3 linked regions of the Pelodiscus sinensis genome follow. The protein of the gene in region 3 purifies or fractionates together with the protein of the main gene of each other region. This does not show direct contact. Links are inferred from orthologs where the notes say so. Each region holds a gene or a part of one and is shown on either strand. Other genes may lie near its edges.

What was found.
Region 1: the proteins of KLC2 (region 3) and KIF5B fractionate together in Homo sapiens (co-fractionation; 7 studies listed by BioGRID and IntAct, with this or other methods). This does not show direct contact. The link is inferred for Pelodiscus sinensis from reciprocal best matches to the Homo sapiens genes KLC2 and KIF5B.
Region 2: the proteins of KLC2 (region 3) and KIF5C purify together in Homo sapiens (affinity purification with western blotting; 3 studies listed by BioGRID and IntAct, with this or other methods). This does not show direct contact. The link is inferred for Pelodiscus sinensis from reciprocal best matches to the Homo sapiens genes KLC2 and KIF5C.

What each region holds. Positions count from the first base shown.
Region 1 is NC_134712.1:229,671,809-229,681,959, reverse strand, and holds the start of KIF5B (kinesin-1 heavy chain), read left to right. Parts: upstream 1-5,407; 5' UTR 5,408-5,626; coding exon 5,627-5,752; intron 5,753-5,903; exon of another isoform or gene 5,904-6,060; intron 6,061-10,151. UniProt on the Homo sapiens protein: Microtubule-dependent motor required for normal distribution of mitochondria and lysosomes. Can induce formation of neurite-like membrane protrusions in non-neuronal cells in a ZFYVE27-dependent manner.
Region 2 is NC_134717.1:26,171,040-26,181,406, reverse strand, and holds the start of KIF5C (kinesin heavy chain), read right to left. Parts: upstream 4,745-10,367; 5' UTR 4,648-4,744; coding exon 4,522-4,647; intron 1-4,521. UniProt on the Homo sapiens protein: Microtubule-associated force-producing protein that may play a role in organelle transport. Has ATPase activity. Involved in synaptic transmission. Mediates dendritic trafficking of mRNAs.
Region 3 is NC_134721.1:32,085,259-32,096,145, reverse strand, and holds the start of KLC2 (kinesin light chain 2), read left to right. Parts: upstream 1-5,953; 5' UTR 5,954-6,083; intron 6,084-6,116; exon of another isoform or gene 6,117-6,243; intron 6,244-6,423; exon of another isoform or gene 6,424-6,448; intron 6,449-6,514; exon of another isoform or gene 6,515-6,722; intron 6,723-9,681; 5' UTR 9,682-9,691; coding exon 9,692-9,931; intron 9,932-10,445; coding exon 10,446-10,676; intron 10,677-10,887. UniProt on the Homo sapiens protein: Kinesin is a microtubule-associated force-producing protein that plays a role in organelle transport. The light chain functions in coupling of cargo to the heavy chain or in the modulation of its ATPase activity.

The sequences.
Region 1 (10,151 bases), on a different chromosome or scaffold from region 3:
CCTGTTCTTAAATATCTTCAGAGATGGAGATTCCACTACCTCCCTAGGCAACTTATTCCAGTGTTTAACCACCATGACAGGAAGTTTTTCCTAATGTCCAACCTAACCCCCCCTCTCCCCCGCTGCAGTTTAAGTGCATTGCTTCTTGTCCTATCCTCAGAGGCCAAAGAGAACAATTTTTCTTCCTCCTCCTGGTGACACATTTTTAGATACCTGAAAACTGCTATCATGTCTCCTTTCAGTCTTCTCCTTTCCAAACTAAACAAGCCCAATTCTTTCAGACTTCCCTCATAGCTCATGTTATCTGGACCTTGAATCATTCTTGTTGCTCTTCTCTGGACCTTCTCCAATTTCTCCACATCTTTCTTGGAATGTGGTGCCCAGAACTGGACATGATACTTCCAACTGAGGCCTAATCAGTGTAGAGTAGAGCAGAAGAATGACTTCTCATGTCTTGCTCACAACACTCCTGTTAATGCAGCCCAGCGTCACACTGTTGGCTCATATTTAGCTTGTGGTCCACTATGACCCCTATATCCCTTTCTGCAGTACTTCTTCATAGACAATCGCTTCCTATTCTGTATGTGTGAAAAGGCTTGTTCCTTCCTAAGTAGAGTACTTTGCATTTGTCCTTATTAAACTTCATTTCTCCAGACCATTTCTCCAGATTGTCCAGATCATTTTGAATTATGGCCCTATCCTCCAAAGCAGTGGCAACTCCTCCCAGCTTGGTATCATCTACAAACTTAATAAGCGTACTCTGTATGATAACTGATGAAGATATCTAAATAACTGATGAAGATATTGAACAGAACCAGTCCCAAAACAGACTCCTGCAGAACCCCACTTGTTGTTCCCTTCCAGCATGATTGTCAACCGTTAATAACTACTCTCTGAGAATGATTATCCAGCCAGCCACCTTATAGTAGCCCTAAGGTGTAGTTGCCTAATTTATTGATAAGAAGATCATGCAAGATCATATCGAATGCCTTAGTAAAGTCTAGGTATACCACGTCTACTGCTTCTCCCTTATCCACAAGACTCGTTATCCTATCAAAGAAAACTATCAGATTGGTTTGGGAGTAATAACCATAAAGAGAAAAGCTTGTTGATTTTGCTGTTAGTAGTGTATTTGCTTTTGCTTGAAAATTGATAGCAGAAGAAAAGGAATTTACATTGTAACAAATGATTTACCTCTATGTTTTTAAGCACATGCTTACTTATAAGCACATGAATGGCCATATAAATGGTTAAAGTTACATTTATGTTTAAAAGCTTCAGAGGGATAGCCCAGTCTGTACAGGATAAACTTAAAAAACAACAAATAGAATGGTAGCACTTTAAAGACTAACGAAACATGTGGATGGTTTATGTTTAAGTAACTAATCACAGTTCTGAAATTATAAACAAACATAAACAGGCTCTTTTATTTAGAAACTAGACGATTTACCTAGCATTGCTTGGGTCCTTAATTCAATTATTTGTGCTTTTTGGAAAATAAAACGGAAATGTATATGCTCCATTTAAACCATTGCTCTGGGGTGGGGGTGGTGATGAGGCTGCCCCGGGGAGTGAAGACTACCCCCAGACTCCTCTCACAGAAGCAGCTTGGGGGCCAGGTGAGAAGTGCCTCTCCATGACTGCTGCAGCTCCAGTTGGCACAGCTGGGAGAGGGGTGCATGTCCTCCAGCTGGGGCAGGTCCAGATTCATCTGCCCCTGTGCTCCCCAGCCACAGTGAGGAATGCAGCACTTTCCCCTTACTCCCTGACAAAGGGGAACAGTTACTGCATCAAGCCTTGTGCCCCATTTGACTGTATTCACACCCTGTGAATAATAATTATTGCATAGAGTACTTACGTGTCTGGGAGGTGTAGCTGTTACTGTCCTGATTAAGACGGTATGTTCCTGCAAAGGTTTCAACTAGAGCAGAAGGATGGGCTTGTTACAACATGATCTTGATTGAGAAGACTGCAAACTTGCCTCACAACACAGAACTAGATTTTAACAAATTATGTCATGTATTAAACTGAGAAACAGCTGTGGATACACTGGGATAATTGGTAATATTTAGAATAATTCCCAGTTACATGACCTAGGATGGGCTAGCACAATTATTGGGACTGCTCAGTGTCTGAGTGCACCAAACCTTAGGGTACCAGTTGCATGCACACACACACTGCTATTCTGAGGCAAGTATTGTAGGTTCTTCAGCAACTAGACCTTATAGACATTACCCTAGTGAGTCCCCATAACCACTCAGACACATGGCTACGTGAAAAGGGCTGGCAGGAAAGCCGCAGTTTGCAAATACCCTAGCTACAGAGGCTTGAACAGTTACCATTCAAAATGAACAACAGTTTTTGGTTGGGTCACTGGGGCGGTCCACTTGAAGAAGTCAAGGCTCTTTAGCCCTGCTCCACTCCAGATTTCATTCAAGCAAATAGGAACTTCCAGGTTTGCAGGCAAGGTTCAGTTAATGCCTCTCATTGGGTCCCTCAGTACTGGCGCCCTAACCAGTTTCTGCTGCTCCCCCAGACCTGTACTCTACTCTCACATCTGGCAGTCACAACCTGTTTCACACACAACTCTGTCTTCATTTCCTGAGGACTGGTCTACACTAGGGCTTTGTCTATACTGCTGGCTTTGCTGGCTGTGCCTATGCAAATAAAGCGCAGATTAGCATATCTCCGTGCCTCATTTGCATAATTTGTTCAACCCTTTTTGTGCAAAGGGTTTTTGCACAAAAACAAGCAGTGTGGACAGGGTTTTTTTTTTGCAAAAACCCTGTTTTGAGCAAGATCCTTATGCCATTCTAGGAGAAGTATAAGAATCTTGCGCAAAAAGGGGTTTTGTGCAAAAAAGGCTTAAATAAATTATGCAAATGAAGCACGGTGATATGCTAATTCATGCTTCATTTGTATAGGCACTGCCGGCAAGTCAGCAATGTAGACGTAGCCTAGGAGTTTAGGTGGAATTTAGTTGCATAAGGAAATTTTCTAAACAATGAGTCCACACTGCCAAGCCCGTTTCTTCAACTTTAAGAGTTACTAAAGTCAATTTTGGTACTCCTGCTTTTCATGAAGAGTAATTCTAAATTCAACCTTGCATGGTCAACTTTACTGTAGTGTAGTCCCAGCATTGTAAAAGTAGATGTTCTTGGCCTCTTGGAGGCATCCCACTGTAATGGCTCTGGTCAGGGCTTGTGACTCTATCACTCTTCAGGTGAACAGAAAAATCCCTGGGAAACTCTGAATTTAATTTCCTGTGTGGACAGCATGGCAAGCAGATCTCAGAGCAGGCAGCATACTTGGGCATGAGTTCCATGAGTTCAAGTTTCATGAGCTTCAATTCTCATTTGTGCAGATGAGTACCAGCATGGAGCATGAAGGAGATCTTGGACTTCAGAGATGCATGGGGAGAGGAATCAATTCTCGTGAAGCTCTGAACCAGCATATGTAGCACAGATATCTATGCGAAGTATGCAACTCCATGGTGGAGAAAAGATACACCAGGGATGCCCAGCAGTGCTGTGTGAAAATAAAGAAGCTGAGCACAAGACAAAGGAGGAAAACGAATGGTCTGGGGCATCGCTGCAAACATGTCGCTTCTACAAGCAGCTGTATTTGACACTGGTGGAGACCCAATCAGCATCCCAAACCAGACCATGGAATCCTCCCAAGACACTCATCAGGGTAGCAGTGTGGAAGACAGCAAGGAGGAGAAGAATGGTCAGCAAGCAAGTGGGTAGTTGATGTGACCAAGAACCAAGAACTTTTTATAACCTTAGAGATAATCCCTTCCTCCCGGGACATCTCACAGTCAGGCACTGATGTAAAGGAGGACCTTTCCAATGAGTTCACATTTTTTATTTGCTACCAGCAGATTAAAGCAATTGGCTGTGCTCCGTGCCTACACAGTGGGGTGAACCTGGAACAGATTCTTAACATGTCCGGAGATGGAGTGGGAATCTCCCCTGCACAGCTCCAGAAAACTCTTGTACAGTTAAGTCTTTAATCCGTCTCACAAAGTTTCTGGGGAGGCCAGCCTTATTCCATACTTCATGGTAGGGCACGTTCCTATGCCACACAACCAGAAAGTGGTCCGGTGGCATTGCAGCACAAAGCATTGCAGCGTAAGAACTAGGTTGTTGACCGCATTTAGTCAGCATCAGCTCCTTATCTCTGTGTGTAATTCAGAGAAGACTGATATCTCACATGGCAACCTGGATGAAGGAGGAGAAGCTATTAGCTGCTGCTTTTGCTACTAACCTCCATTTGCCCATCCCCGGTGAAGCACGGCTGCAGCTCTTGAGGAGGCTTCGGCCCCTCCTCTAGTCCTCCCGCCTGCGGGCTCTTGCAGGAAGGCGAAAAATAATACTCTTCTGGCAAGCAGGTTGAGCCAGACAAAAAGGAGGGAATTGGCATGAACTGCTGCCCCGCCCCACTGCCATGAATGAACCCTGTTCTCCTTCCTGCCTTCAAGATGGTGCCCTGGTAGGCCCCTTATCATGCCTGCCACCAAACTGTGCGAGTTCAGATGCTCCAAGAATTCTTGTGTGCCTGCTGCACTGTTAAAGTCTTAGTCTTCACCACTTCCTCTGGCAAGGAGTTCCCCAGGTTGACTGTGAACTGCATGAAGAAAAACTTCCTTTTGTTTGTTTTAAACCTGCTGTTTATTAATTTAATTTGTCCAGAAGCCACATAACTTAAGGCTTCCGATCACAATTTCAGAGGAAAATTATTTTGAACTGATAGAAAACCACAGGGACTCTTCATGTGACACCAATGCCCAAGGTTTCATTTAGATGGCAGAGGCATAGCTGGGTGGATCTGTGATCTCTGAAAGCCATGGCTTAATGTCATTTTGTGATGCTAAAAACAATGACACAAAACAGAGCCCTGGGGTGTATTTTGAAAGGAGGGTGCCTGCTGGGGGAAGCCTTTGAGGGTCGACTCAGCTACAGAGAGGGTAGCCCTGATAGGCTCAGCGCCTTGTGAATGCTCCGCTAGCAGCACCTCCCTGTCGCTTGCTCCCCAACTCCCTGCCCCTGAAGGAAGGGCGCCCCCCGCTGCTGCTGCGACTTCCGATCATGCCCTCCACATGCCTCCCCCCGTCGGCCTCCTTCACCCAATGACTGCGTCTGCGCTACAGCGGCGCCCAAAGACAACTTGTGCGCCTGCGCAGGAGATTTTTGCATACGGCAGTGACCATGTTTTCATCTCCTCCCGCCCTACACAGTGAGCGCTTGCGCAATGCAGCTCTTCGGTTGCTGCCGCGGCGCTGTCCTCGATGCGCGCCTGCGTGGTGAATTTGAGGCGGGGAGGGGTAGGTGTTCTCTGCGGCGAGTGACGTCACCCCCTCTCTGCCTTGCTGTCGAGGCTGCTTCTGCCAGGGGAGGGCAGGGCCTGGACTCGCCGGCTGCAGGCGCCGCCATGGCTGCCATATTGGGGAGGAAGTGAGAACAGTAGGCGGCAGCGGCGGCCAGGCAGGAGCCCTTCCCCTCTGCCCTTTGCTCAGCGAGGCGCTGCTCTGCCGGCGGCGGCCGCTCGCAGGACCCCGGAGTGAGCGGCGCGGAGGCAGCGGCGGCCGGGCTAAGCGCCCCGGAGGCGGCGGCGTTGGCCTAAGATGGCGGACCCGGCGGAATGTAACATCAAAGTGATGTGTCGCTTCAGGCCCCTCAACGACTCCGAGCGGAACCGCGGCGACAAAGACATCACCAAGTTCCAGGGAGAGGACACCGTCATCATCGCGGTGAGCGCCGGGGCGGGCTGGGGAGGGGGCCGGATACCCTGGGGATGGGCGCGGTACGAAGGGGGAGGGCTCGGAGGAGGGGATGGGGAGCTGGAGGAGCTGAGGGGGCCAGACAAGGGGAGCAGCTTCGTGGGGGTGTGACAGGGCAGAAGAACGAGCAGGACAGGCGCAGGGGTTGGCCGGGCGGTGTGTATGAACTTATAAAACTGCCTCCTAAGCAAAACCTCCCTGCCTCACAGACCTCTTGTAGAGCTACTGACAGCGCTAGAAACTTTGGGCATGACTTTACGTGGTAGTTTTGAAGTGAGGTAAGACCATACGGTGAATGGGGACAGAAGAAAATGTTCAAAAGAACTAGACTTTTTTATGTAACCTAATTAAGGTTGGCAACTAAGGTAATGCCTAAGAGAGACATTACCAGAGTAACTTGCCCACTGAATAGTTTTGGCAAAATAAAATCTATTGAGTGTGTTTTGTGATCAGTCCACCAACCAGTGGGTTAGTGGCTAATACTTTGCCCAATAAAATAGTCAAATTATGCCTTTGTTTTTTTCACACACAATTATAATTTTAATTTAATAAAAATTGCTTACTGCAAAATAGAAGCTTGATGCAAAGAGATTTGGTTGGTATCCTGAAAAAGATAATTCCAGCAGTGCCAGTTTGTAATGCAGCTGCTGTAGAATGAGTTATTAACTTTATGGTTTAACTCTCTATTTCACTTATAGTAACTGTCTTCTGTGGTTTCATTGGTATTTGTTGATAAATGGGTTGCACAGAGAGAGATTTTTTTCATGTTTCACACATTCTTAATCTGCACATTCAGATGAATAATTTGCTACATGGAATCAGAATTCTGCATTTAGAGAGGAATATAACTTTAAAATATACTTTACTGATGTTTGTTTAGATTTCAGATTCTGCACACTATTATCTTTTTGAAGCAACCCAAATTAAACAGTTATTCATAGCAGCTTAACCTGGAACTGGAACAAATACATAACAGTAAATAAAACTTGTTAGAAAATTTCATATTTATAGTACAAGGCTTTAAAGTATTTCTTAAATTCAGTTTTAGGAAAAACTAATGCATTGCTAATGGAATATGCAACCTTTTGCTGTTTCTGATATAAATGCAGTTCAGGTTGGTAGTGAGTAGGCCACTGAAAAGTAAACAGAATGCTCCTGAAATGAGCTGTTGGCCCATTCAAGATCAGATTGGTGCTGCAGACCTCATTAATTCTCATTGTTTCACAGAAGCCTTGTTCATCATTTAGCTAGACTGTTAGCAAATGCAGAATATGACTAAGCTGATGTCACTATCAGAGTAAGTACACTAACTCTCATGCTTGGTCCAGAGCAGGGATGGTCAATAATTTTCGCTGGGGGGGGGCACTTAATGAATTTTGGTATGTGATCACAGGCCGGCTTCACCCCAAGGGTAGAGATTGGGGCAGAAGGGACAGAGCTCGGGACTACCTTTTCCCCAGAGTTGTCTGGGGCCAGAGACTTTAAATTAAAATCACTGCAAAGGGCTCACAGTTCCCAGCCCTGCTGTTACCACATTGCCTGACAGCTGCCCAGGCTTGCTGTGGCTATTTAAAGGGCTCACTGCTCCAGTCCCTGCTGGGGTAGCACTATAGCCGTGATCCATTTTAAATAGGATCCTGCCGCGTGAGCCTCTGCCTGGAAATTCGGTAGCACAGGCAGCAGAATATAAATAGAAAGCATCCACACACAGTCTGTGGGCTGGGTCAAAATGTTAGGTGGGCTCAATTGGCTCCGGGCCACATCTTGGCCAGCACTGGTTCTGAGTATCCATTCATACAAACACCATGTTGTCCCCTCTGAAATCAAAAGTTGTAAGGTCCGTTCCTGAGATGTATATAATTTTCTAGGTGATAAACTGTCTATTAATTCCCAATTCTCTAACCTTCTGGAAACTACCTTTTGGACCAAAGGGCATCATTGCTAATAGGGCAGGGGCTTGATATTCATGGGGAGGATTCATGGTTTAGATTTCATATAATAAAAGTGAGAAAATTTGAAGTGGACACTCGGAAACATTACCCATGTAGTGTAGGTAGCCGCCTTTTACAAACTGGGAAAAAAAGCTGATTGTTTTGTTCTTGACAACTTTTTACCGCCAAAGCAAAAGCTAGAATTTTTCCTGGGTAATGAAGAAAACATCACAATAGTGTGGGGTTTGCTTTTCTAGTAAGATTGCAAAATAACATCTGAGTTGGGCTAGCCACTCACTAAGTAAGTGTGAGGTGAATTAGTCATTCTCCTTAGGGACCAGGTGGGGACAGTTGACAGTTGGTAAGGAATTAACATGCATTGTAATTACTACTTTAATAACCTTATGCTTCTGCAATAGTGATGGCCCAATGTAAAACATTCAGTAGTCATAGGGATTTGATACCAGTGACAGTCTTTTAAGTCTTATCTCACTGTTAGTCCAACCACTGGGACTGGAAACAAATGCTCTTTACAGTGAATATGTTGGAATTCCCATCATTAAGCATTTTTGCTTTGCTCCTGAGATATGGCAAGATTCCAAAACATTCTCTGAGATAAAATTTAGTTTGAGAGTTCTTTTTGTTCAAGAACTCCTAATGCTAAGAGCTAGCATCACTAAATTTGATATGCAGCTGTAATGCTGAAAGGTGGAACTGAACCTGGGACATCTGGAGCTTACTGCATGAGCCATGACAGCTTGAGATAAAAGCCAGCTGGCTTTCAGCTAAGGCCATAGAACACCTCCATTTTTCTGTCTATAAGTGGCCTGAGTGTGCCACTACGTAGGACCATACACCACACTCAGAAGGTGTGTGGGTTACGCACCTCTTATCCTAACTTAAAACAAGGTCAGGGTTTGGTTGTGGCTGGAATCTGTTTTCCATCACATGGAAAGGGAGGGAACTGATAGTAGGGACAGTTATACTGCAGAGTGCCCACAGGGAAGTGGCCACACCAGGAAGAGAGTGACCAGCTGGGGCTTTCTCTCCCCCTCTCCCTCCCTCCCCTCCTCCTCCCCCAACAAGCTGGGGAAGAGCAGCCCAGCCCAGCCCTCCCCTCCCCTCCTGAGGAACCACTGGTGGGTGGGGGGGCAGCTTCCCCACATCCCAGGAGCCACCATCAGAGCAGTGCCATTTTTGCTACCACAGGAGTCTCTGGTAGGCCTCCTTCCTAGCCCTGGCCATAAGCCTCCTGGTCTGACTATCCCCGCCACCCTGAATCCTGCACCCCAAACCCTGAGACCTGATAATCCAGCCTCCGCCCTGAGCTCCCTGGTCTGAGCCTCACCCTGAATCTTGCTCCCCATCCTGCCCTGACCACCTCCCCCTCCTTCCCCTAAGCCCCCTGCTAGTTACCAAATACAATTTAAAACTAATACTTTTTGCACCTTTCATGGCCATTCAATTTCTATCTAAGGATGGGTCAGTCAGGATTTGCAGAATTCATGGATACCTAGTTGCCTGAAGACTTCACCTACTAGCCTCTTTGAAATAGTTTGTCAGCCACACCCCTGAAATAGCCTTCCTAAAGCCATTCTTCAATTAGCTCCATGCAGGGTATATCAATTTCATGCATTTGTTTTCTGGCTTCTCTTCACCATTCTAAATGGTGATAATTGCCTGCCAATCGTTGAACTAGGATTCTTCTTCACAGTGTTCACCTTAGAGAAGAAGCTAAATCCTCTCAATTGGCCTATAGTATTTACTACAAGTCCTCTGCAGGCCCATGCTCAAATATGGAGAAGATTGTCAATTATATACCTAGTAGCATTTTGAAGAGTTGCTCCTAATGTCAGGAGAAATGGTAAGACAGGGAATAAGTTAGGAGTCAGACTGGGAGCAAAGATGCTCTCAGCTACTCTTGTGTGGATTTGTCTGCCTCTCTAATTGTACATACTTATTCCTTGGCTTCCCATTCCTTTCTGGGGAAAGTAGCAATAACTTTCTCTTTTCCTGGGCATCTATACAACTACAGGCATGCTTGTTATCCTGGGCAAGTGCATCTTTTAGAGAAACAATTTATTGTAATTGTAGATGTTATACAGTGTTCCCTGTAGGGATGCAATAGTGTAGTTGCAGAAGCTTAGAGGTTGATGCTACAGACTAAATGCATTCTCTCTCTCCTCCCTCCCTCCCCCCTCCCCCTCCAGGCCAGTGGCCTAGGTCCTGGCTCATGCCGAGTCCAGGACCTACCCCTTCTGTGGCTCTATATTTAAAGTGTATTAGGAGGCAGGTAGGCAGCCTGACTCAGCTCCAGCTTGTACTGGGTCCAAGAGCTCAGCCCCCTCTCCCCCAGACAGTAGCTGCTGCCACCCTACATTGCTTCCTCCATTTCAGAGCCAGCAGCGAGGAGGGTCAGGCAGCCAGTCTGCGAACCG
Region 2 (10,367 bases), on a different chromosome or scaffold from region 3:
ACACTGAGCGCCACAACTGGTGGCTGTAAACATGGGACCGCAAGAAACTTGGCCACATCCTTGATAAGTGGACATTCAGCTAACTAAAACCATACCAGACCAAAGACGTCAGACCGGAAGTGTCGGACCAGAGATGTGCAACCTGTAGGAGAGTGTAGCAGGAGGGCATTAGGTTGAATATTTCACAAAAAAAGGCATTTTCCCCACAGTTGTTTGTGAGGAGCCTGAGTTAAGAAAAACTCTATGTAATGGTTCAAAGAGTTCAAGATTAGACATCTTCTCTCCTTTCAGTTATTCATGTTTCAGTCTTGTAACTTTTATGATAACAAAATTCCACTAGTTTTTCAGGCTTCCCATAGAAAAGTTAATCCTGATATTGCTGAAGAAAAAGATGCTGGACTTAAAAAAAGTTGAGGCCTTTAAAAAGCAACAAAAAAGACATCTTTAAATTGTGGTTGATTTATTTCGTTTAGCTTTGCAGTTCCATCTTAATAACTTTATAAGTGTTAAAGAAAATCAGTGCTCTTCTAGAATAAGCAGTATGCTAATAACATTTTCTATCAAAAAACAGTATTTTTCAGTAAGTATTGCTAATTATTGGATCTGTGCATTAAATCTGACATACTAAATAATGAAGATTAATAATATATCCCGAGGAGTTTCAGAGAAGATAGCTGGGTTAGTTTGTTTCAGCAAAAACAATGAAGAGTGTTGTGGCATAACAAATATGTTTGGACATAAGCTATTGGGGGCTGGAATCCACTTCATCAAATGCTTGCCCAAATAATTTTGTTAGTCCAAGGTGACACAGGACTCCTCGTTTTTAGTTATACCTTCTATTAATGGTGTATTACAGTAGTGCCCATTAAGGTCAATGTCTGAAGTGTGAAAGTATTCTTATGCATGTTTATAATTAAAAAACTATACATACATGCAGTCCATCTCAAGCCATAGAACTAGCTGATTTCTCACAGTTATCATGGTAATGAATCCCAATCAGGAGATACAGTTTTTTGTCTGTTTAATGCAACTGACTTACAACCAAGAAAATTAAACCTTATTGGATATCACTGGATCTTCTTCCCAGTCCGTGCTTATGTCACAAGAAGGAGAAAGGAAGAAGATCCTGGATAAGAAAAGCTTTCAAAGATGATAAAGAAAAGGTGCTGAAGATTTTTCCTGCCAAACCAAAAGCTATACATGATGGGGGAAAAAAACAAACAATTTTTACATGTAATGAATTAGAGACTATGACATCCAGTGCATAAGAACTAGAAAATACCTGTTTTTTCCTTTTTGTCTTTGGAGAGTGCAGCTAATGCTCTGAGCACTTTCTTCAGCTGAATCATCTTAAACTGAATGCAATGTTTCCCAAAGGACTACAGAGATGTGCTATACCCAGAATTACAATTTGGACACGATTTCACTTTCATTAAAAAAAAAAACTGACTTTACATTCAACTTATCTGTGAACTGATTTAGTCAAATAGATTTTAATTTTTTTTAAATAATTCTACCTTTGTTTTCATATTGTGTGTGTGTGTGTGTGTGTGTGTGTGTGTGTGTGTGTGTGTGTGTGTGTGTGTTTTAAGATCACCAACATTTGCATGGAAGAAGCTCTTTCTTTCATAAGGTTTCATCTGCCAGTTATTTCTTCTTCATTCTAAACATTCATCGTGACCTGAAGTCATAATCCTCTGCTTGACAGACTAATTGTGGTGGAGATTATTATGATTACAACACAACACAAGGAATGAGAGTTTATCTGCTCAGAAAGCAAATATCCTGTTTTGATGCAATGCCCTCAATAATTAAAAAAAGAGAAATAGACATTGCTATAATGTTTCTCTCAAAACATTTCAGTTTTTCATTAATCATTTAGCAGATCTCATGAAAAAGTGCTTGTCCTTCCAATAAATTCTGACAGCTGTAAGCAGTTGAAATAAGAATCTTGTTAATAACCAGGTAGACATTTATATGGCTTATCATTTATTGATCTTGAGCACTTATCTAAGTATTTGGTTATAAAAATAAACCTTATAATGAGTAGCATAAATAAGGGCTGTGATCACTGCAGGCCAAAACAGAAAACAAAGAATGGGGGGGAGGGTGGTGGGCAGGGAAAATCTAACAAGCCAGACAATAACCAATACAAGCTCAAACAGAAATGGCCTACATCGGGATGGAGAACCTAAGGCCCAGGAGCCAGATGCCAACCCTTGCTTGCCTGGATCCGGCCTCTGAGGCTCGCTGATGCTCCAGATCCCCCGCTGCTTCCCCACAGAGCTAGAGCACACAAAATCTAGTAGCCTGCACTCCTCCTATGCTCTGGTGTGCAAGGAGAACGTGGGGAGTGTCTCTCTCAGTGAGGATTTGGATTTTGCCTTCTCACTTGTCCCCCAACTGATTTTTCTGTGGTTCAGTGGCCCCCCCCAATCCAAAAAAGGTTCCTCTCCCCTGCCGACTTGATGCACTGAATATCACCAAAGCCACATGCTAGCAGACTGACAAAAGGCGCCCATTCCAAAGTAAGGAACCTCCATTGGAAACCTTCAGCTCCAAGAACTCACTGCAAGCATGCCCCAGACAAACAACAGCCAGGATAAGCAAATAATTTGTGGGAGAGTTGGGTCCCGACTCCCAGAATCTACAAGGAGCCAGATAACCACATATCTTTTTAGTGGTCCTGTTTGATATGTTCTAGTGCCGGGCTACCCAACTTTGGAAGCCCTGGGGATCACAATGATACTCACAGCACATGCCAAGGGACGCAACTTAAGTGTGGTTGCATATATATGCAAATTGCTTCTTTCACACTGATGGACATGAATACAAAGATTAAAGGCAAGACTACACAATATAGGGGCCCCATTTAAGTCGGTTCTGCTGATATTAATAAAATGCAATATTTACCTATTTCCACCCACATGACAGCACTTTTAATGAGCAATGACAGTCCAGGAATTTAACTACTAAAATGTATATCAACAGAAGACCATTATATTGACTATTTTTTTGTTTTAGCTACCATCGGCGGGCTGCATGTTGAACCCGCACCGTGCTATGGGCCACAAAAAGCAGGCCACAGGCTGCATCTTGAGTAGCCCTGTTCTACTGAGTGGTTACAGAACCTTTGGCCTTTATAAAAGTTACTTCCCAGTGTGATATGCTTGAGGAACAAGAATATTATCATGTTCAGAAATCAGTTATCACTGGGATCCAGATTAGCGAATGGATGCTTAAATATATATATTTTAGGCTTTGTGGTAGAAAGAAGCACCACAGGTAGACCTAGTTATATTAGGATGAACATTTCATCCCAGACTGGTTTCAATCCATTCTATCAAACTACCACCAACTTACCCGCACAAAGTGATTTTTACTACACTGAGCTCCCAGACAATCGGTCTCAACTATTTGTTCTACTGGAATCTGTAACTATGTTCCAAAAGCATCTTTCCTAGTGTGCAGCTATCAACAACGCATGGCACAGAAGCACTGATGGCTTTAAGCACAAGGCAGATTCAGCAACTACACACTGCAAAACTGTATTTTGTTCCCGCGCCTCCCTTGGCTGGAAGGCAGACAATGCCAACCGGATGCGACAGAACTATCGCCGACCTCGCCTCGACCCCGCGCCCCACAAAGCGCACGGAGCGCCGGGCGCACGCAGACCCGTAGCCAAGGCTCTGCAATCCATTCGAGGGAAGAAACTTTGCCGCGAAAGAGCTGCCGCAACGCGCTCTCCTGCTAGGTGACAGCGAGGGGCTAAGGGGCGCAGCGCACACGGCGCCCGCACATCTCTCCCCGTCCACCTGCCGCCAGGCGGCTTGGCACCCCGCGCGCCGGGGAGAGGCCGAGGCGGAGCACAACCCGGGAGCGCCCCGAGCGCTGCAACTTCTCCCCTAAATTGTTTGTCACCTGCCAATCACGCGGTCCCACCCGAGCCAGGGAGAGCCGAGCATGCCCAGTGAGCGGGATGACATCAGCTTCATCCAGGCTGGGGGCTGGGAGGCTGCAGCCCAAGTGGGAGTCGAGCCGACTCTGCTCGATTCCTGTCCCCCCCCCCCCCCCCAGGTACCCACAAGGGAGCGCAGCAGAGTGAGCGCCCACTGCCGCCCGCCCTAGCCCCGGGCAGGTAACGGGCCTCGTGCCGCGGTGTGCGGAGCAGGCTAGTGCCACCCGCCCCCTCCCCCTGCGAGGAACTTCGCCCCCCCCACCCACCCACCCACCTGGGAGCGGTGCTGGGCCGGGAGGGGAACAATAAGCCCCCAGCCAAAGGAAGGACGCGGGGGGGGGGGGAAGAGATGCCCTCGAAGCGCCCCTGCTCCCGCCTGGGGGAAGCGGGTTCCCCTGCACCCAGCCCCCGGCCCGGAGCGGGAACAAAGGGAGGCGGCAGGGACCGGCCGGGGGTGCCGCGCAGGGGAGGACCGGGGCTTGGTGCCAGGGCTGCAGAGCCGCGGCCGCAGGATGCTCGGTACCGCAGCGGGTACTCAGTACCGCCCCCCCCCCCAGACTTACCCCGATCACCACCGTCTCCTCGCCTTTGAACTTGGGGATGAATTTGTCCCCGCGGAGAATCTCCGCCTCGTTGAGGGGCCGGAACCGGCACATCACCTTGATGCTGCACTCGGCGGGGTCCGCCATCGCGGCGGGGGGCTGGGCGGCGAGCGGCGAGCAGCCTGCCTAGCGCCTCCAGCTCTGCGCCGGGCCGGGCCCGCAGCCTCTTCCCCCTTCCGCGGGCGCGGGGAGCCAGGGAGCGCCGCGGCCAGCGTCCCGCGCCGAGCATCCACCGGCGGAGCCGCGGCTGGGGCGGGGCTGCCCCCCGTGCGGCGCGGCGCGGCTGTAGCAGCAGCAAACACAAAGCGCCGCTGCCTTTGCCCCGGCAGCGCCCGCCGCCCCTCGCCTCCCCCAGAGGGTTGGTGGCTTCGCCGCATTACATCAACCCCTCCCCAGCTCGGGCTCCCGGGGACAGCCGCTAGCCGAGCATGCCGGGAGATGTAGTCCTCGCCGCCGCGCACAGGTGCGGGCGCGGCCCGGCACGGCCCGGGAAAGGAACAAGCCGTGCCCCGCTGTGTTTGGAGGCCCTGACTAAACGCCGGGAGCCGGGGTGGGGCGGGAGGCGCAGATTTGTAAACCGATTACAGCTCCCCCCGCTCGGAGGAAATCAGTGGGTCTTTAGATCAGGGTGAATTGTTTCAAAATATCACAGCTCTTGCGCGCTCTCTCTCTCTCTCCCCCTTCCCCAAAAGTGGTGCATAAGGATGCACATACTTTCTCCATTTTAAGCCCGCTCTATTTTTATTCTGGGTCTTGAATTTCCAATCATAACCTTTTTACTTAATTGCATTAACATTATACCCTCTAAACAAGGATTGAGTGCTCAGAATTATTTTTCATAACTCCTCTCCCTACCTCCTAAAGATTTTCAAAGCTCTAAAAAAAAGTGTGTGTGTGTGTGTGTGTTTAATAATAGTTTTCCTGTTTTTGCTAATTAAATCCTAAAATCAGAAACCCTAGTTATACTTAAATAAAAATGAGACAGGAAAAAAAGGGGAATGGGCCAGATGGTACAGGGCATCCTCACTGTAAGTCCAAAATATGTCCCAAAAAACTTGGACTTATAGCAAAACAACTTAAAGCAGGGAATTTTTCCCCCCACCCTGACTTCCATTTGCACAAATCGGGGTTTTTTGGGGGGAGGAGGGTTGGGGTTTTTTGGTTTTTTGCGCGTGACTTAAGAGCAGGGAATAGGAGGATTTCTAATGCATCTGTTCCTACATGCGTCAATGACTTTAGTGTGAAACAGATCTATACCAGGAAGACATAAAGTAGGGATGTCGTGTACATGGGGCTTATTAATATTATGACTTGGTCTGTGAACTGCAGTTTTAAATGCAGGTGAGAGGCACACACACTCTGTACTTTCGCATGCTTTATTTTTATTCCTTCTTGGTTTGTTGTGATTTTATTATAAAATAAGACTGACTGGGAAGTGTGTGTTCACTCTTTGCATATCTAGCTAAATATTTTAGAAATGGGCATCTGTCGGCCTCTGAGTCTGTTTCTTCAAGAACTCCTCCTGAACATTAAGAGGTAGGACCATTAAGAGGTAGAACATTAAGAGGTTAGGATATGAGGATGCTGCATACCAAACTTACAGTATGGTCAGGGTTTGGTTGTGCCAAGGAAACAGAAAATGCTGGGAATGGTTTCCATAACATGGAAAGGGAAGAGGATAGAGAGGAGAGGTGTGATTCTGACAGTGGCCACTGGCAACAGCGAGGCCAGAGGGAAGAGCTATACTGCAAATAGACGCCTGGGGTCAGCTACACCACCAAGAGTGGGGCAAACTTGGCTGGGACTCCACCCTCTTGCCTGCCACAAGACTGAAGGGGGAGGAGAGAGGAAAAGGTCCCTGGTGGCTGGGGCAGGGGGAGAGAAAAGGCTCCTGGCAGCTCCTAGCCCCTCTTCACCATCCCCAGCAGGGAATCTTCAGGAAAGCCCAGCCTCTTACCCCACCTTGAGCCCTTCCCAGCCATGAGCACCTTATCTCTGGCCCCAGCACAGAGTCTGTACTATACTCTCTCCAACTCCTCTCCCCAAACCTGAAGCTCCCTCCTGCCATTCAAACTTCCCAGCCTCACTCCAGAGCCTAAATCCCAGCCAGAGCACTTGCACTCCAATCTTCTGTCCCAGTCCTGAAACCCTAGTCCCACCCTAGAGCCCCTTCCCCCAAGCTGAATACCAATTTACCAGTTTACCAATCAACTGTAGTAGTTTGATGAGTCCCATAAGTATGTTAACTTCTGTACCAACACAGACATCTTGGTCTCTAGTCTAAAGCATCTTGGAAGTTAATTAGAGGTAAGTACATTCAAGTACAAAATGCACAAAGGGTGGTAGTCGAATGTGTTAGAAGTCCTTTATATGTAACGAAGATTTTGGAACAGAATTTCAAGTATAAGGGATAGCATTGAAGAGGACAAAGATATGACTGGGGAAAACACTCAAGAAGTTGCATAGGAGGAAGGAAGTCTCTCTGCCATTCCAATAGTTTGCCACTATATATTCTACACAAGACTAAGCCATCCAGTATACAGCTGGGAGTGCCCACAACAAATATATTGCAACTATTCTGTCAGTGCAAATAGAGCGTATTAATGTCAACAAAAAGCAAAATACATATGTTTCAAAAACGTTCAGCAGAAATTTAATCCCAGAATGTTTACCATGCTGATTTCTTTATAAAGAATCTGTGTGTGTTTGTGTGATGAAGAATCTAAAACAAAACAAAAAACTAGGAAACTCCTAACACTCTTTTCATCACATGGTATCCATTAACATACATGCACATAGCCTTGAGATCTCCATCACCAGTATGTGAAATTTGTCACAGAGTTTAAAAAAAAAAGTGAAATACTAACACAAAAAGCCTGAAAGCATAGAAGTCAAATCTGCCCTCACATAAGTGCTCACAATTCTGGATTTCAATAAGAACTTCACACACTTTTATAAGGCCAAAATTAATCCCTAAGAAAGACTAAGATGGTGGGAGGCTTAAATGAAATATCTGTGCTAATGTTGGATGCTTGGGTACCTAACTGAGAGAAGCCTGATAAGTCTCATCAGTTGCTGCTTAAACAATACCTGACAGGAAAACATGCTTAGGCAATCAGGCAAGAGGTAAATGAATCTCTGCTTGACAGGAAATGTGTATGGTTACAAAGGGTGGCATTTCAGGCTCTGCTACCTTCAGTCTCAGAAAAGCAAACAAGCTTTACAATAATCACAAGCTAAGCAAATGTCTTATGCTCAGACTGCTCAAAAGAGTTCATCATGGCTGCTGAATGATGTAAGCACGAATCGTTGTTCACTGGCAAGTAGGAGCTGTTACCTAAGCCTACCTGCTGACTCTTAACCTCTGTGGTCAGTTTTCTTCAAACAGAATTCCTACCAGCTTTCATTAATGTGAGGCTGAGTCACACAAACAGGGAGGCAGAGTGTGTTCAACTCTTTTGCATTTCCTTCAAGATTCATCTTCACGTCTCTGTAACCTCACTATGGCACGAGGACATCAACTCAGCAGGCAATTTAGTGTGGGCTCCCATACACTTCTGAAAAAAAAAAAGCAACTAGATCAAAGGTAGTTTACAGAGTGCAGCAGGTGGTAGACTATTACTGTATAGTGTGATTAGTTCCTACTGATTATTAATTAATTAATTAATGTGCCTGCCCCTATTCTTCAAGCTTTTCACTAGCTTCATACTGCATATTTACAAATCATGACCAGTGGGTGAGGAGTCTTGTTAAAGGCTGTTCAGACTAATTTTTATTCCCATTTTTTTTCATTAAGGGACCATTTTCAAGCAAACAGCACCAGCTTTTAGTTTCTCATTAGGAAGACTGTAGTTCCCACCCCATAAGACGACACATTCTTCTGCAAACTTTGTACTATAAAGCTTCCCTCTTACTTTTATATAGTATTGTCACAAAACAGCCAGTCCTTGTTCAGTCTTACTTGAATATATTCTCAACAACATTATTTTCTCCCATATTCCTATTAGGAACAATAATTAGGTAAATAGAATCAGGCTCAATATTTACCCTTGCAGAACTAATATAGTGCTCTACATTGCTCTAGAACATGAAGCCTGCTATATTCTCTGATGAACTGCAAAGACCTTTAGGAGCATTAGACAGAGCCCTATCCTGAAGCATGGGTAAGATCCTGTTCTTTCTCTTTTGTGAGATATGTAAGAGGGTGCTCATATTTATGTTCAGGGCCGTCCTTAAGTTTTATGGAGCCCTACCCAGTACTATTAAACTGATGCCCTTATGGCCAACTGGGGGGGACTGTTTGACAATTTTTTAGAGAGATGTGATTTTATAATCTTCAGCAACATGCTAATGAAATTGTTTAAAATTTGCTTGAAAAATAAGGTCCCGTAGACTAACACAGTAAATCCAGAAACTAACAATAGATACATGGGGTTGGCAATTGCTGATTAAATGGCTTCATTATCACCTGAATGTCTCTTTCACAGTTTCAGTGTCTGCTAATAGGTCTGTCAGGCTTTTCCATGTTTAAGTTAACTAGATCTGCTCTGGTGGAAGGAAAGCCACAGAACACAGACACACCCTAAGAACCTGACCTACGTAGCTGCATATTCTGCATATGGGAAAGGATGGCTCTGCTTATGTTCAATCCAGAAGGACAAAGGTCTAATCTTGGTACTAGAGAGCTGGTCCTATCTCACCGTTCCATAAGAAGTCCAGTCTCCTTTCTGTCACTTGCTGCAGCGAGCTCCAGCTTGGTAAATCTCCTCTCTCCATTCCCAGCCCCCACTCTCCGTGTCCATGCACAGCTCCATTTAGTTAGACTCTGTAGGGGGACCAGGATTTATCCAAATAGATTATCTCACACAAATATGCGTGTCACGAGACTATCCAAGCACATGCCCAACAGTTTTCAGAGTCAAGGCCTAGGCCATCATCAGAAAGGCAGAGCAGCAGTGGCTCTCTGCAGGCAAATAACTGCAGCCACCTTGATAAAAAAAAGTTCACTGGTGAAAGCCTGCTGAGGCCACACGCTTCGACCAGCTTACAGAATCAGGGCAAAAGATTGTTCTGCAAGCTGGGCCAAGCTTAGTAATAGGTCAGTTTCAATTTGTGTTAAGCTTTCTTTTATTGTCCATGGTTATTATGAACATCATTCTCCCCCTTGAACAGATTTCTCTGGGATGATGTCGAGTCTTGCCTGCCGAGAGCCTTTGTAGCTCCAGGTGCAGCTATTATGGGCCCACGCTCTTGCTGCTGCCAGCCCTGCCCTAGCAAAGCACGTAGTCCCACTTGGATATCAATAGGATTGCTTCTATGAGTTTCAGAAGTCTTCTCAACTGTTCACGGCAGTGACTGACTTCATGAAGGGCCTGCCAGTGTTGTCCTAGCATATGTTCTCCTGGATCACAGCTTGCACCCGAGTGTGTTATGACCTGGCCAAGGTCTCCTTGCCTCGTGTCACGGTGTACTCCACCCATGCACAAGCCTCTTTGGTGGCCTTCCACTACAGGTCCTCTGTAGAGCTGTGACATAGTCCTCAATTCATACCTTCCCATCGCACATCAATCCAGGCAAAATGTGGCATTTGGCATTGCAGTGCTTGAATTAGCAACTCGTTGACTCTGATCCATCCCCCTTGGTAAGGCTTGTGAATCACCAAATTGGAACCAATATGAGAAAGTGCTCAAAGAATTAAAAATAGTTACTCACCTTTGTAACTGTTATTCTTTGAGATGTGTCACTCATATCTAGTCTAGAGCCACCCGTCTTCCCCTCTGACGGAGTAGCCAGCAAGAAGGAACCGA
Region 3 (10,887 bases):
AGGGCCCGGTTGTAGCAGTGCTCCACCACCTCTGCCACATCCCTGATGGAGCCAATGCCCCAGGACAGCAAAACCTAGTGCCACAGCAGCCAGCTCTGTCTCTGCAGGCTGGGCTTTCTCACCGCCCCCTTCCCCCATCCTATGCTCAGCTGCTCACACTTCCCTCCTCCCCCCCAAGTCAGGCAGCTGCTAAACAGTTGGGTTTTCCCACTCAGGTTCACTGGGAGCTCTGCCCTTGTCTCCCTGAGTGTCTGGCAGAGAGCCACAATCCATGCATGAATGGTCCAGGAACATGTCCCATAACTCCCATTGGTCACTGCTGAGTCCTGAGCTCAGTGATCCTGCCTTTGCCGAGCGTGAGGCCCACGCAGGCCATGAGCAGGGCACCCTAGGCCCCAGCTGAGTGCTACAATTATCAAGAGAAGGCAGTGACTGCCTCCCTCTCTTCCCTTTGCCCCCTGGAGTGCCACTGCCTCTGCCAATGGGCACCCCCACTCTGTCCTAAAGAGCCCACCGGCACCCAGCCCTCATGGCTCAGACAGGAGCAGGGCAATGAGAAGCCAGATGATCTCCTCCAGCCACCTGCTAGCAATAAAGCCAGTTGTCACTGGCAGCCAGGCAGAGCCCCACACACGCACCACCTGCCAGGCCACCTCCCATGAATTTCCTAGTGCCCTCCATGTTGGCCTGACTGGGTGAAAAGGAAAGTCATTGGGCTAGGATAGGTGGCACCCACAGGCCTGCCCAGCTTCCCCAGGAAGATGGTTATTTGCTGGCTGAGTGTGTCGTCGCTTTGCTTCCCCTGCCGTCACAGGGAGGCTGCAGAAGGGCCCCTGAGCCACGGCCACTGGCTGCCGCAGAAGTGCTGCAAGCAACAGAGTAAGTGTCCAAGGCAGTTCCTGCCTGTGCAGTGGGTCGCTCATCTGGTTGAGCCACTTCCTTGGAGGGTCTCAGGTAGCGAGCTCCAAACAACTGGTGCTTGGGGGCCAGAAGTCCTGAGTCAAATCGCCATGGCAGGCAGGTGCCCCACTGCAACACCCCCAGCAGCCCAGCTGTTCCCTGCAGACCTAGCCTGTCCCATCCATGCTCAGGCCTGCCCTAGGCCGGAATCTCTCACTTCTTGCAGTCTCCCAAGCACAAAGAGCTGCAGCCACCGCTAGCGCCACAGAGGAATCTTATGTTTGCTCAGCACTTTCTACCTTTGCATTTCAACGTGGCCTGTTCAGTCCTGGCTCTCCCCAGAGCTCCCTGGGCTCTGAGCCTTGCAGCTGCAGCAGGCTGGAGGTGGCACCTAGGCAAGGTCTGGGGGCTGGGCATGGATTGTCTCCCAAGCATGCACGCTAGGCACTCCAAAGCTCTGGTATCCCCTCAGACTGGGCCGGCTGCCCCAGGAGCATGAGGATGAAGGGAGCTGCCCAAGGCCCATGTGATCCCAACACACATTTCCATAGCCAGAGTCAGAACATTCTAGGCCACCCCAATCCCCATGGGAGCCTGTGGGGTCCCCATCTCTCTGTGCCCCCACAAATAACTCCCCACACCCCCCCAGCTGTGTGGTGCCCCAGGGAGCTCTGTATCTCTGCTGGAGCTGCACGAGCAGGACTCTGTTCCAGTACATGAGGGATGGAAGAGGCCTAGGCCTGCCCTCTGGGCACACAGGGCACTGTAAATAATCCCTGGTGTGTTTAAGTGCGTGCCTCTCCCATTTGGTTTGTGCACACTGTCCATGTTGGGATCATTGTCTGGGGTTGGGGAGAGACCCCTGTTGTATTTGACACATTTTATTGGGGGAGCTGTCCCCCCTTTTTTTGGAGTTTTTTCATTAAATAAACTGGTGTTATTTCTTAAAAGGTGTTTATTTAATCAGTTTGGGTCTGTTCAGTCAGATCCCTGCAGAGGCTCCCCAGGCCACGGTATAAGGAGTAAGGGGGGGTCAAAGCTGGAAGCCAGGACTCCAGGGTTCTCTTACAGCTTGAGCCCCATTAGCCCAAGTCAGCTAACACGCGCCAGATATGGGGCTACGTCTACATTGGTCCCTTTTCCGGAAGGGGCATGTTAATTTCAGCGATCGTAATAGGGAAATCCGCGGGGGATTTAAATATCTCCCGCGGCATTTAAATAAAAATGTCCGCCGCTTTTTTCCGGCTTTTAGAAAAGCCGGAAAAGAGCGTCTACACTGGCCCCGATCCTCCGGGAAAAGCGCCCTTTTCCGGAGGATCTTATTCCTACTTCAAAGGGCGCTTTTTCCGGAGGATCGGGGCCAGTGTAGATGCTCTTTTCCGGCTTTTCTAAAAGCCGGAAAAAAGCGGCGGACATTTTTATTTAAATGCCGCGGGAGATATTTAAATCCCCCGCGGATTTCCCTATTACGATCGCTGAAATTAACATGCCCCTTCCGGAAAAGGGGCCAATGTAGACGTAGCCTGGGTGTTTCACTGTGGCATAGACATACTCTGTGTGACATGGGCCATTGTGTCTCACCCTAATAGACATGTTCTCACAAGAGGCTCCTGGCCCTGCTGGGACAGGCAAGGAGGAAGCTGGAATGAAGAAGTCTCTTCTCTTGGGGTGCTAGAAGCCATGGATCTAAAGTGTGACCCCCTCTATGTGATGGATGCCAGGCACTTGGTTGCAGTTATTGTTCAAGCTGGGGGGGGCTGCAGTACCCCAAGCACCAGAGCCCCTGCCCCAGTTGGTGTGAAGGGCCTGGCCTTCCCCCACATCCACCCCATGGTATCATCCAAGCACCATCCTGCTGCTGGGTCCCATTACCAGCTCTTGCTCCTTCCCATTGTCTTAGGGCTGCTGCCATTTTTCAGCCACATGTGCTGGGTGCTATGTGATGAGGCTGCTGCTCTGAGGGAGGTGAGACTGACTGGGCCTCAGCTCCATGGCCTGGGGCGACTCAAGATAATCGTTCCAACTTGGCTGTGGTGGAGAATTGCAGCTGAGGGAAAGTGCTCCCCTCTGTGCCAAAGTGAGAGACTCCCCTCCAGCTGCAAGAGAGCCTGCCCCTCCCATCATACTGTGGCACCCACGCCCACCTACACCATGGTGGGCCATGTATGGCAAATGCCTTGGGAGCTGCTGCAGCCTGTTTTGTCCCAGCCCAGAGCAACATTAATCCCAGCCTGCCCCAGGGGCTGCCAGTTTGGGCCCTGCATCTTTGCTCATTCTACCATCACACTAGCCCCCTGCATGTGAATTAGGGGCTGTCAGAGAGACAAATGACTTGGGTGCTGGTAATGTAGTCATGGGGACAAACCATTGCTGTGGCAGTACAGGCCAGTGTAAGCCATGGGTATATAAACAGAGGAGCCAATAGGAACAAGGAGGGGATTTTACTGGGAATCTGGCATTGGTGACACCCATCCTGGAACAATGTGTCCAGTTCTGAGGGTCACACTTCAAAAAAGGATGTTGAACAATTGTAGAGAATATAGAAAAGAGCCACACAAATGACTTGCCTGGGGGAGCTGTCTGGTTGAGAGATGACTTGATTCAGGTATATAAACACTTTCCTGGGAGAAAATACTGGGCACAAAAGGGCTCTTTAACCTAGCAGAGAAAGGCAGAACAAGAACCGTTGGCTGGAAGCTGACTCCAAACATATGAGAAATAGGGAGCCAGGGGATTAACAGAGTGAGTGGTGGATTCTTAATCTCTCTACGCTGGCATGATCTTGCGCAAGAACTCTTCCAGAAGAGAGCGTCTACACTGGCATGTGCGTTTGTGCAAGAGATGTGCTTGTGCGCAAAAGCATCCATGCCAGTGTAGATACTCTCTTGCGCAAGAAAGCTCTGATGGCCATTTTAACCATGGGGCTTTCTTGTGCAAGAAATTCATGTTGCTTGTCTACACTGGCCTCTTGCACAAGAACAGTTGTGCAAGAGGGCTTATTTCTAAGCAGGAGCATCAGAGTTCTTGCACAAGAAGCACTGATTTCATACATTAGAACGTCAGTGTACTTGCGCAAGAACTCGCGGTCAGTGTAGACAGGCAGCAAGTTTTTGCACAAAAGCAGGCGCTTTTGCACAAGATCACGCCAATGTAGACACAGCCTTGATGTTTTACAAATCCAGACTACCCCTTTCTGGAAGATGCATTAGTCAAATACAAGTGAGTCCCTGGTTTGTGCTGTACATGAGGTCAGATTAGATGGTAACGTGTTCTCCATGACTAAGAAAAGAGGCAGCAGGGAGGAAGTCAAGAACTTGGTTTTAGCTGTGGAGAGTTAGAGAGTCACAAGGTGATGACAGAGACAGGCTAGGATTTCAGAGGAGACAGGGCAGGAGCAGAGGGGTAGATCCATGAGTCAGCAGCACAAAGATGACAATTGAATTTGTGTTTGCAGATGAGATTACCCAGAACAAAGGCAAAGAGGGCCAAGGGCAGAGCTCTGGGGAACACCCACAGCTAACTAGAGAGGTGGAGGTGAGGAGTCTCTTCTTAAGACACACAAGGAATGGTTAGAGTTAGGAGGGGAGCTGGGAGAAGACATTCATGGAACACAGAAGAGAACAAGATTTCAAGAAGAGGTACATGGCCAATGGTTTTGAAGGAGGCTGCTAGTTGAAGGACAATCTGGCAGGAATAATGGTTCTGCATTTTGGCTAAGAGGTCCGTAGAGACTTTGGGTGAGAGCAGTTTCATGGGAGTATGTGGGGTGGAATGGGATTGGAGAGGGTCTAGATCACTTGGGTACATCAACACAGTAGCATGTACCTTGAAATAAGCTATGCAGTTTGAGCTATGCAAATTGCGTAGCTTAATTTGAAATTTGGCGCTGCCTACACAACCCTAATTTTGAAATAAATCACTATTCTGGCATCTTCCTTCATCTTCATGCAATGAGGTTTACAGGAAGATGGAATAAGAAGCCCAATATTTCAAAAGCATTTTGAAATAACAGGCATGCTGTTAGACACACATTACGCTATTTCGGCTTAACAGACATACCCTTGCAGAGGAACTCTGCACAGTGAAACATGGCCAGGGACTGACTTGTGTGGGGGAGCTGTCTTCTGCCACCCCTGGAACATCTACTCAAATCTGGCTACATAATGAACCTTTGAAGAATCCCAGTTTGCACATGAAACTTCCTAGAAGCTTTCCAGCCCTATTCTGGGTGGATTCTGACCACACTGAGCATGATCCAAATGCGGGAGGGTTCAGGCCTCTCCTTATTGGAGGCTGCAGCGCTGGCAGTGAGAGCAAGGGACCTGCCTTTCTTGTGCTCTGAGTGACCCCCACACCCCAGTCTACCCAGGCATCACCCGGGAGGAAGCTGCTGATGCGAAGGAGCCAAGAGCTGGAGCAGGGCTGGGGTAGAGAGCAAGGAGGACACTGGCCCAGTGAGCTGGGCTGGAGGGAGTCTTGGGACTGGGCCAGCACGTTCTGGTTTCTGCTTCTGGAGCCAGCATGGAAGTCCCCGGGCAATGGGACGGGGGGGGGGGGGGGGGGGCTCTGTTGAGAAGCCGGAGAGCGGCCCGGGCTGGAGGAGAATGGTACCTGCACGATGGCCCGGGGCTGGGAGAGACAGGCCCGGGCGAGCCGAAGGGATGAGGCTGGTCTGCGCCCCCTGCAGCACCCCCAGCGCCCCGCACCGTTTGTCTGGAGTCTGAGCCGCGTCCCGCAGGCAGCACCCGGCGCGTTACCCGTGCGGCATCCCCGGGCTCCCCGCCGCGCCTGGAAGCCCCAGTGACGCGGGCATCGGCCCGTGCTCCAGGGCAGCCTCCCCGGCCTGAATCATCAGCCCCGCCCCGCCTCACGCTGCCGGGAGGGGCGGGGCTAGAATCCTTCGCACCCCTCGGCCCGGGGCGGCACCGCCCCTTTCACACCCTCTCCCAGGAACGTTCTGCGCCTCCCCTTTAAGGTGCGGCGTTTCTGCCCGCCGGATACAAAGTAGCCCCAGGCCGCTTCCCCTTTACGGTCGCTGGCGGGAGGGGGGGGAGGGGAAATCACGTGGTGTTACCGCAGGGGCTGCCGGGTAGCGATGGGGCGGGGCGGGATGGGGCCGGCGGCAGCAGCAGATCGGGACTGACACCGGGAGAAGGGAGAGAAGGGGGCGGGGCCTGCTGCAGGTAGGGGCGGGGCCACGGGCGGGAGGACTCAGGGGGAGGGGGGACTGTCAAGCGGGGGGCTGGGCCCGCCCCTCTTTGCCGAGCTGGGGGGCTTGTTGCAGGGCTGCGGGGGCCCGAGTCCGGCGGGGCCCTGGAAGGGCCCGGGGGGCGTGTTGCGGAGGTGGCTCATCTCGCGCGGCGGAGCGGGCTGGGGGATATGACAGCGGGGAGGGGGCTCTGACGTAGGCGGGGGGAAGGGGCTGCACATCTGGCCTGTCCCAGTGCTCTGAGCGGAGGTGGCCCGGTGTGGGGCATGTGTCTGGCGGGGCAGTGGGCATGGGGCCTGGCCCCGCCCCCGAGCTGGCTGGGGCGGAGGGGACCCAGAGGTTACCTGCGATCGGGGGGGGGGGGGTATGGTGCACATCTGGAATGGCCTCGGGGAGGGCACTGGGGCGGGTTCCCACGCAGCTGGCGCGGTCCCGGGCAATGCGGGGGGGTTACTGGGCCGGGGAGTGGGGGCTGGCCCAGAGGCCCCCCCGCACCATGGCTGCCCGGCCGGTGCCGATCCCGCCGCTCCGCTCGCTCGGGCTGCAGGGGAGGCGGAGCGAGCGGCGGGCCAGTGGCGCGGAGGGCGCATTGCGGACTTGGGCAGCCGGGCAGGTGAAGGACGGGACGGGGCGGGACCGGGGCAGCGAGGGGCGCACGGGGTGCGGTGGCTGGAGGGGCCGTGCCCGGGTGGGCGCACGGGGTGCGGCGGCTGGAGGGGCCGGGCCCGGGGCGCTGGGGTTTAAGGCTGGAGGGCAGGCTCAGGGCCGGGCGAGTCGGATTCGCAGGGGAAGCTCGTCCGGCCGGGGGGCTCCGGAGTGCGCTTGGCGCGGGGGTGGGGAGACATGGTGCGGTCTGGGAGGAAGATGCAGGATGCGTTGGGGCTGTTTCCCCGTGCATTGGAGGGGTTGGGAGAGATGCGGGATGCAGTGGACGGGGGAGCTGGAACAATTTGTACAGTGGGGGTCCTGAGAGCTGAACTGTAGACCCTCTGTATGATAGAAACAACTCCAGGCCTGGGGGTGCAGCAGCACCCCACCAACCCCTAGTTACAGCACCTGTAATGCTGGGGCAGTTTCAAGGTGCAGTGGGGGTCAGGGATGCAGGGTGGGCTAGGACTGTATCAAGGTGCAGTGGGGGTGAGGGGATGCAGGCTGTGCTGGGGCAGTTTCAAGGTACAGTGGGGGTCAGGGATGTGGGGTGCGCTGGGACTGTATCACGGTGCAGTGGGGGTCAGGTTTTGGGGTGCGCTGGGGCAGTTTCAAGGTGCAGTGGGGATCAGGAATGTGGGGTGCACTGGGACAGTTTCAAGGTGCAGTGGGGATCAGGAATGTGGGGTGCACTGGGGCAGTTTCAAGGTACAGTGGGGGTCGGGAATGTGGGGTGCGCTGGGACAGTTTCAAGGTACAGTGGGGGTCGGGAATGTGGGGTGCGCTGGGGCAGTTTCAAGGTACTGTGGGGGTCGGGAATGTGGGGTGTGCTGGGGCAGTTTCAAGGTGCAGTGGGGGTCGGGAATGTGGGGTGCGCTGGGGCAGTTTCAAGGTGCAGAGGAGGTCGGGGATGCGGGGTGCACTGGGGCAGTTTCAAGGTGCAGTGGGGGTCGGGGATGCGGGGTGCGCTGGGGCAGTTTCAAGGTACAGTGGGGGTCGGGAATGTGGGGTGCGCTGGGACAGTTTCAAGGTGCAGTGGTGATCGGGAATGTGGGGTGTGCTGGGGTAGTTTCAAGGTGCAGTGGGGATCGGGAATGTGGGGTGTGCTGGGGTAGTTTCAAGGTGCAGTGGGGATCGGGAATGTGGGGTGTGCTGGGGCAGTTTCAAGGTGCAGTGGGGGTCGGGAATGTGGGGTGCGCTGGGACAGTTTCAAGGTGCAGTGGGGGTCGGGAATGTGGGGTGCGCTGGGACAGTTTCAAGGTACAGTGGGGGTCGGGAAGGTGGGGTGTGCTGGGGCAGTTTCAAGGTGCAGTGGGGGTCGGGAATGTGGGGTGTGCTGGGGCAGTTTCAAGGTGCAGTGGGGATCGGGAATGTGGGGTGTGCTGGGGTAGTTTCAAGGTGCAGTGGGGATCAGGAATGTGGGGTGTGCTGGGGCAGTTTCAAGGTGCAGTGGGGATCAGGAATGTGGGGTGCGCTGGGGCAGTTTCAAGGTGCAGTGGGGATCAGGAATGTGGGGTGTGCTGGGGTAGTTTCAAGGTGCAGTGGGGATCAGGAATGTGGGGTGCGCTGGGGCAGTTTCAAGGTGCAGTGGGGATCAGGAATGTGGGGTGTGCTGGGGTAGTTTCAAGGTGCAGTGGGGATCAGGAATGTGGGGTGTGCTGGGGTAGTTTCAAGGTGCAGTGGGGATCAGGAATGTGGGGTGCGCTGGGGCAGTTTCAAAGTGCAGTGGGGATCAGGAATGTGGGGTGCGCTGGGGCAGTTTCAAGGTGCAGTGGGGATCAGGAATGTGGGGTGCGCTGGGGCAGTTTCAAGGTGCAGTGGGGATCAGGAATGTGGGGTGCGCTGGGGCAGTTTCAAGGTGCAGTGGGGATCAGGAATGTGGGGTGCGCTGGGGCAGTTTCAAGGTGCAGTGGGGATCAGGAATGTGGGGTGTGCTGGGGCAGTTTCAGGGTGCAGTGGGGATCAGGAATGTGGGGTGTTCTGGGGCAGTTTCAAGGTGCAGTGGGGATCAGGAATGTGGGGTGCGCTGGGGCAGTTTCAAGGTGCAGTGGGGATCAGGAATGTGGGGTGTTCTGGGGCAGTTTCAAGGTGCAGTGGGGATCAGGAATGTGGGGTGTGCTGGGGCAGTTTCAAGGTGCAGTGGGGATCAGGAATGTGGGGTGTGCTGGGGCAGTTTCAAGGTGCAGTGGGGATCAGGAATGTGGGGTGTGCTGGGGCAGTTTCAGGGTGCAGTGGGGATCAGGAATGTGGGGTGCGCTGGGGCAGTTTCAAGGTGCAGTGGGGATCAGGAATGTGGGGTGCGCTGGGGCAGTTTCAAGGTGCAGTGGGGATCAGGAATGTGGGGTGTGCTGGGGCAGTTTCAAGGTGCAGAGGGGAAAAGGAGGTGGGGCAGCAGAGAACAATCTCTGTGTGGACGATTGGGAGTCCTACCACCCCGCCCCAGCGCTGTGCAGGGAGCCGCTGGCTGAGTAACTCCTGAGGCCTGGACCGCATTGCGTCGCTAGGGTTTGAGCTGTCGGCCCCCCTGGTGGGGGAAGCTGGAATAACATCCTGGGAATCAGAGGTCATTTGAGAGAAATGAGGGAGCCCGTGTGCCCCTAGATTGCCTTGTGCTCCCCTTTCCCCTACTTCCCCTACTCGTCTCACCAGCCAAGTGAGGCCCGAGATGAAAGGGACATGGGGCAGCATCAAGGATTGATGTCTGCTGGTTACATTTGAGGGTGCAGGGGAGTCACAAGGCGGGTTCGAGTCCAGCTTTAGGAGGGCAGTGAGTTGTAGTGGTTTGAGAGAGTTGGGAGCCAGCACTTCTGGGTCCCATTCTGAGGGGTGGCTGTGCTGAGACCCTGACTGTGTATTGTGAGGTGGGGGGAGGGTATCTGGTTGTGCCGGGTTCCTGTCTTATAGCCCACTCCCCACCACTGCAGGAGCCCAGCCATGGCGACCATGGTGTACCCGCGAGAGGAGAAGCTGAGCCAGGATGAGATCGTGCTGGGCACGAAGGCTGTGATCCAAGGGCTGGAAACGCTGCGCAGTGAGCACCACTCCATTCTGGCCACCCTGCTGGACCCCAGGAACTGCCTGGACAAGCAGCATGAGCCCAGCACTGTGCAGGAGAAGTCCAGCCTGCTGCGCAAGTCACTGGAGGCCATCGAGCTGGGGCTGGGGGAGGCCCAGGTAAGGCCTGGCTTCCCTCCCCAGCTCAGGGATGTGATTGGTTCCAGTTGTAAGCAAGAGCCAGGACACCTGGGTTCTATTCCCAGCTCTGGGACAGGAGTGGGACCTTGTGGGTTAGAGCCGGAGTGAGGCTTTGAACCAGGATTCCCAGGTTCAGCTCCTAAATCTGTCATTGGGAACGTGACCCTGGAGACAAGTCCAATTTCTCTCTGAAAAGGAACAGTGACTCCCCGCCCAGGGGCAGCTCTGTCCAGTGTATATATAGTGTTAGGGCTGTTGGAGGGTGGGGAGGGCAGGAGTTCCTGTGAGGGAGAGGGAGGCTGGTGTTAGGGCGAGGGGTGGGGAGGCTGGGGAATACAGGGAGGCAGTGGCTGGCAGGGGGTCGGGAGGTCACGGGACAGTGAGGGCCAGGGCCAGTGGGAGAGCGGTGGCTGTGGGAAGCAGTGGGTGCCGGGGGGCAGGGAAGGGCTGTGGTTGCCTGGGGGATTGGTCCCCATCTTGCACCTCCCCACAGGTGATCATTGCTCTGTCGAGCCACCTGAGTGCGGTGGAGTCTGAGAAGCAGAAGCTGCGGGCCCAGGTGCGGCGTCTGGTGCAGGAGAACCAGTGGCTGCGGGACGAGCTGGCGGGGACCCAGCAGAAGCTGCAGCGCAGCGAGCAGGCCGTGGCGCAGCTTGAGGAGGAGAAGAAGCACCTGGAGTTCATGAACCAGATCAAGAAGTTTGACGAAGACATCTCCCCCTCGGTGCGTCCCCCGCCCAGAGCCTGGCTTCTTGGCCTCATGGGTTCTCTCCCAGCTCTGTCACAGGACCAGAGTTTGGTGGGTTAGTGCAGGGCAGACTGGGAACCAGGACTTCTGGGTTCTCCCTGCTGTTCTGGGAGGTGTGGGGGGGATCTAATGGTCATAGTGGTAGAGTGGGGCTGGGCGCCGCCCACATGCTCCCCAGGCTGACATA